2 linked regions of the Sus scrofa genome follow. The protein of the gene in region 1 purifies or fractionates together with the protein of each later gene. This does not show direct contact. Links are inferred from orthologs where the notes say so. Each region holds a gene or a part of one and is shown on either strand. Other genes may lie near its edges. The genes, in order: USP12 and PHLPP1.

Region 1 (2,832 bases):
ACTGGGCCACAACAGGAACTCCAAGAATGTCATTTTCTTAAGGACGTTGATCAAGTTTGAACTTGATTTCAGAACATGGATACGGTATATTTTTTCAAGCATATCACATGGATTCTTTCCTGGAGGAAACTATTGCCAAGGGAGTAAGGCTCGAAAATATGCATTGTTGTGTATTCAGTTCAGCATGTTCTGGCTGTGATTGCCTCTCTTATCCCCTCCATCCCCAAATGCTGCAAAATTTTATTAAAATTTTTCATAGAAGCAAATTTGAAATTAACTTAAAACATAATTTAAAAAGGTAACAAAGAATTTTAATAGTACACCTTTATACAAGTGGACTAACTGGTTATATGTCTCAGAGAACTAATTACTTGCTTTTAAAATTGAATGCCAGTTCAAATCAGTGCAGCCTGATCTTTGGGGGGAAGGATAGGTAAGGAGTATTTTTATCTGTTTGAGTTGCTCTGCTTTATAGAACATGAAATTTGGGGCACGGAGGGATGATATTAATAAACGTCGAATAAAATTAACTTCTCTTTCTCTCTGTTTTAGTGGTCCCAATCGAGGCCATTATATTGCAATAGTTAAGAGTCACGATTTTTGGTTGTTGTTTGATGACGACATTGTAGAAGTAAGTCGTTTCCGAATTTCGTGTTTTTCTTCAAAATCGTGTATATATTTTGCTCTTCATGTTTGTCTCCCAGCTTCTTATTTGTATATACGGGTGATGAATGTCAGACAAATATCCGAGTTCAGATCGTGGTCTGACTCCTACTTCTTACTCCCTAATAGCCAGTTCCAGTGCTGGAATAGTTGGCGAACCTTTAAAATGTTCAGGATCAAAAACAAGGGAAATCTTTTAACAGCAGAGGTAGTTTTTTTTTTTAGAAAAACTTAAACTATTAAAAAAGAATTTTTGAGGCGGGTTCCCGTTGTGGCTCAGCAGAAATGAATCTGACTAGAATCCATAAAGACGCAGGTTCGATCCCCGGCCTCACTCAGTGGGTTAAGGATCCGGCATTGCCATGAGCTGTGGTGTAGGTCGCAGAGGCAGCTTGGATCTGGTGTGGCTGTGGCTGTGGAGTAGGCCGGTGGCTACAGCTCCGAATGAACCCCTAGCCTGGGAACCTCCATATGCTGCAGGTGCGGCCCTAGAAAGACAGAATGTATAAATCATTTCTGAGCTGTAACCTACATACAGTAGAGAATGCCAATCTTAAGCAACAATTTAAATTTTTACACGTGAATGCATACATATATGTACACACACAACACACAGCTGCCATCCAGATGACAAAACAGTGTATTTTCTGGAGTGCCCATCCTGGCTCAGTGGGTTAAGGATCCAGAGTCAGCTGTGGTGTAGGTCGCAGATGCTGCTCGGATCCCGCATTGCTATGGCTGTGGCGTAGACCAACGGCTGCAGCTCTGATTCCACCCCGAGCCTGAGAACCTCCATATGCCACATAGGGTGTGGCCCTAAAAAGACAAAAAAAAAAAAAAAAAAAAAAAAAAAATCATAAGAGGAAAGGCCTTATTCTAAGAAATGTTGAGGATTTTGCTCAGTTTAAGCAGTTCGGAGAACTCATTCTTGTCCTAATGTTTATGCTTTGCCTCGAAGAAAATAGATGCACAAGCTATTGAAGAATTCTACGGGTTGACATCCGATATCTCCAAGAACTCGGAGTCTGGCTACATCCTTTTCTACCAGTCTCGGGACTGAGGGAAGCGTCACGGAGACTTTCTGCCTCATGTCTTCTCTGGTCGTTTGGGCAAGGATCAAGCACGGATGTTCCCAAGACGAGAGAAGCGAATGCAGGGAGCTCTGGGGGCAGTGGCGCCCTTTGCACACAATAAAGCAAAGACCGTGGATGGACATGCTCTTCCCGTCCTGGCGGTCGCTGGGTTTGCTCAGGTATCACACTGTCTGCGCAGCTGCACACGAAGCGAGAGCAGAGGTACCAGCTCCTCTTGTCCAGCAGCCTTCCAGTAATTGACACGCATCTTCTCCTCCTCCGTGGCACCCGTCGTGGTTGAACTCCTCGGGGGTGCAGTAGAAAGCATAGGAGTCCGTGTGAGGTTGGCCGGAGGCCGCGGGGGCAGCATTGAGCACACCGCATCCGCCTGGCTGGGTCGAACCCCTTGAGAAGGAATCCTGGGTGGTCTTTCCAAGTGTAAACCAGAAACACTTTTGGGCCCAACATTTGCAGTCGCCTTCCTGATGTAAAGAAACTAACAGATGCTAGAATCCAGTGTCAGGAAGACAAATATGTTTGCTTCTCTGAAGAAGCTTTTAATCATATACAGTATATGTATATCTAGGGAACAATTGGTCAAAAGCGGCTTTTTGTTTCCCCAAGGGGAAAGACTGGCTTTGTAATTATACTTGGTTTCCTTATTTATTTTCCTTAAAACTGGTAGAGTCCAAGTGTTGTATGAAGTGCCCATGATTCTGCCAGTGACTTGGAGCATATTTTTATTAGTTTTCGTCGGTTTAACTAATCCTTTTGTTTGTTCCTATTTTTAAGGTGAATTTTAAACTATTCTAAATCGTAAGTTACCTTAAGACCCATTGCAGTGAGAGGAGGTAGATACTCTTTTTTTCAGGAGGAACTGATATCTCGGCTACACATTCGTCCTCGTTGTAAAGTCAGTCATCTGATTCAGCTTTACTTTCAGGAAAATAAAGGACTGTCAGAATCTCGGTGTGGTTGTGGCAGGATGGACGAGAGCGCGGGCAGTGGTGGCGTGCGGGTCCGAGAATCCCTCGGGTCGGGGCCGTGTCTGCGAAGTCCCCGTCCCCATCCCTGTCCTAGCAGTTCCGTCGCTTCC
Region 2 (3,823 bases), on another chromosome or scaffold:
TCCTGGAAGCTGCACTGTAACCAATCCTGTATAATTACACTGACTCCAGGGTTTCTCAACAGCAGTACTTTTGACATCTTGGGCCAAATAACTCCTTGTCATGGGGCTGTCCTGTGCGCTGCAGGATATTCAACAGCACCCCTGGCTTCTACCCACTCTCCACCCCAGTTGTGAAGTGCAGTTGTACTCAGATGTTACCAACTATCTCTGGGGTGGAAATGGCCCCTGGTTGAGAATCACTTACTCAAGTGGAGCATGAGGTGTGAACCAAAATAATAACTGGCTACACTGACACACCCCAGCTTTGTTAAGACAGGCCAGATACATCACTATTCCCACTTCACAGATGAGGAGACAGGCGTAGAGGTTTAAAGGTTGCAGCCCACAAGCGCCAGAGCAAGCATAGGAGGACCAGCAGCGTGACTTCAGGGCTAGAAACCTCAGCCACCAGAGCAGCTGTGAGGTTCAGATGGTGCAGTGGCATGAACCTGGCATAGGCCCCTGACCCGAGGAGGCCATCGATAAGTGCTTTATTATTCTGCACATTATAATGTCTTCAGACATATCACACACAGAGTGTGCTCTGTGACACTATGGATTTGGAATTTTAATTTTAAATCAACTTCAGTGTTTAAAGAATGTTCTTTAGAGGGAAATGCTCCCCGGCTGGTTTCTGCCACAACCTGGCCCTGTCCTCCCTGATCCTGAGGAAAACTGCTCTTCCTCACCTCAGTGATAATGGCCTTGTGCCGCTTGATTCTCTTCAGTTCTTCCTCAGAGCTCATGAGATACGATCTGGACAGAGGCAGCGGCTTCCCATTCCGACAGAGAACTGTTTGACACTTGCCCACGTTAGCAGAGGTCAAGGTGAAGGGTCCTCCTGGGTCCACAGGATCATGCTTGATATGACACAGGACAGCAGCACCTCCAAGTTTCTGCCCAGCAGTTCCAAGCTTCCTAGGGTATGAAGAGAGGGCAAAAACCCACACACAGCTGTCATGTGTCATTGTGCCAGACTCTGCCCCTGGATGACGCTAGGAAGAAAAACAGAACTTGGGGTTCCACTTGGCCCCTTTCACTGAAGTGGGCACTGCTCAACTTAGGAAAGGAGCCTGCGGAATCTGACACACACACATGTACACAGAGAGGTGTCTGCTCACAAGTGGGGTGAGTGTCAACTTTACCACTAAAGCCCTAGGAGCTGACGTGGATAAAGGAGCCCTTTTCCTGCTGCATCCAGCCTGCTACTCCTGTGTCAGGGCACCCTAAAGACAGCAGGGATGACTGCTTCCTTCCCTACCCACCTCTCAAAGCCCTTCTGCTGCTGAGAGGACAGCTGGAGGGACAACTTCACAGAGGCAGGTATGACACATTACACCCACTGACACTTCAGAATGTCCTGATCACCGTTCTCTTTATCAGGATGTTTGCTGGTTTGAGCTTTCAAGTACTGGACCATTCATGTACTTGTCCTATACAGCAAAGACTTTCTGGACAAGTGATGTCTATTCATGGATGAACATTCATGGAAGAGACATTCTAGTAATCAAGCTCCAAAGAGCTTTTACTCCCCATTAGTCCATACACTTACTAGATACACAATGTACCTGCAAGTTCCAATAATCAAAAGGAGCTAAGAATTCCTATCCCAAGGCCCACGGATGGCAGTGCCTCCCAGACTGGTCCTGAGTGGTACGGGGGCCAAAAGATTCAGAGAGACAGACTCCTCTGTTTACAAGGGCAGATCTGCAGGTCCTGTCAGCTGCCATCATGTCCAGGTGAGGCAAGAAGAACACAGCAATGGAAACCAGGGCTGCCTGTTCACATGCATTAGGATGTCATGCACAAAGAACAGACAGTTTTCCTGAGGACTGAAAAGATCACCACACATCCCATGTCCTAACAGCCAATAGGGAAAACAAGAGGCAGACAAAAGACCTCGAGGTAGGCTGACAATCTGGGCCTCTAAAATCCAACTTCCGCACATCTATGGCCAGATTAGGCTTTAGGCCCTGCCAAGGCAGCGCTTTCTTCCTGTCAAAGGCACAATGGTTTCTCTCAGAAAAGCCAAAAATAGGATGGTACTTGTCAAAAGGAATCAGAGTTTGATGTTCTTAAGTTCTTAATTCTTATCTAGCGCTTGAGGGTCTATAAAGAGTATACTTCTTAGGGGTGTGTGTGTACGGTGTGTGGTCTGTGTGTATGATATGTGTTTGCTTTTTTCCTAAAACAAGATGGTGGTCCAAAAGAAAAGCAGATATGGCTGATAGGTAGAATATTCTCAGGAATCAAATTCTGGCTGCACCGTCTACTAGCTCTTAGAGCAAGCTGTTTCCCCTCCCTGTACCTCAGTTTCTCATCAGTAAAATAAGAGTAGTAATATTCTATCTCACTGGGTACAATTTATGGCACTAATATATTTAGAAAAATGACTGGTACATTTAAGGGCTCACTAAATATCAGCTATTGTCAGCATCAATTATCAACTGCACATGAGAATCTAAAAGACATGTGAGTCAAGCAGCAAAGAACTTCACTGGGCCTGCCTCTACTGAGTATTTATGACTTAGGGGAACTTTTGAGGTTTCTCAGGACCAGCATTCCTTATCTGATTTTTTTTCTCTACCCCTGTTGTAAAGATACTTCCTCTGGCAGATTATGAAGGGAGAGAAAAAAGGAGAGAAAGAGAACAGATCGTCATTGTTCCCATGACCTTTAGAGCACTCTCCGCTTCCTGGAGAGTGTCTGAAGCACAATATTAATAGGCAATTCCTTGACAACCTACAAAGCCTTTAAAGTGACAAAAGAGCGAGCAATTCTTATAATGAGGGAATGCTCATAACATTCAGCCCTCAGTTACAAACAACATTCCACGACTTCCACAGTGACCAGAAACTCCAGGGAATGGGCTAGGATTCTACTATTAAAATTGTCATGAACATTTAATAAGGGGAAAAAAACAATATATAAAGAATCATTTAACTCCTGGCCTCAAATGTGACCACCTCGAGTTCACAAAGGTTGATGCTTCTCGAATCAGTGATGCTATTTCATGTGGAGGAACAAACTGAGGTGGAAACAGTCCATTTCAAAGAGAAGTCCACACACCAGGAGGTCTAGAGAGCATCTGGAGCACAAGTGATTTGGGGGAAGAGGAGTGTGTCACAAAAAAATCTAGTGAAAATCTGGAATCACGACAGGCTCATGAGACCCAGGTCTAGGAGAAACTGAATTCCTGGGAGTTCCCGTCGTGGCACAGTGGTTAACGAATCCGACTAGGAACCATGAGGTTGCGGGTTCGGTCCCTGCCCTTGCTCAGTGGGTTAACGATCTGGCGTTGCCGTGAGCTGTGGTGTAGGTTGCAGACACGGCTCGGATCCCGCGTTGCTGTGGCTCTGGCGTAGGCCGGTGGCTACAGCTCCGATTCAACCCCTAGCCTGGGAACCTCCATATGCCGTGGGAGCGGCCCAAGAAATAGCAACAACAACAACAGCAAAAAGACAAAAAAAAAAAAAAAAAAAAAAAAAAAAAAAAAAAAAAAAAAAAAAAAAAAAAAGAAACTGAATTCCTATTACTGATTCGGCCTCCTACAAAGTTGTCTGAACATCAGTATGTCTCGAACAGTATACAGTCTAGCCCTGATGCCTGGGCAAAACCAAACTGCCTGAAGGCACCTCAAAAAACCCAGATTCAACAAGATGCTTTGACATTACTGGGCACTTGTTTTTCTAACCAGATGGCAAGCACTCAAAAAGAGCAAGAAAACACACAGCAGTATTTTAAGTCTTACCTTTGCATAACAATGAACGTATTGACCATGTAT

The links.
Region 2: the proteins of USP12 (region 1) and PHLPP1 purify together in Homo sapiens (affinity purification with mass spectrometry; 4 studies listed by BioGRID and IntAct, with this or other methods). This does not show direct contact. The link is inferred for Sus scrofa from reciprocal best matches to the Homo sapiens genes USP12 and PHLPP1.

The regions. Positions count from the first base shown.
Region 1 is NC_010453.5:4,614,180-4,617,011, reverse strand, and holds part of USP12 (ubiquitin carboxyl-terminal hydrolase 12), read left to right. Parts: intron 1-552; coding exon 553-631; intron 632-1,621; coding exon 1,622-1,723; 3' UTR 1,724-2,832. UniProt on the Homo sapiens protein: Deubiquitinating enzyme that plays various roles in the regulation of the immune response and inflammation.
Region 2 is NC_010443.5:158,647,017-158,650,839, forward strand, and holds part of PHLPP1 (PH domain leucine-rich repeat-containing protein phosphatase 1), read right to left. Parts: coding exon 3,791-3,823; intron 958-3,790; coding exon 729-957; intron 1-728. UniProt on the Homo sapiens protein: Protein phosphatase involved in regulation of Akt and PKC signaling.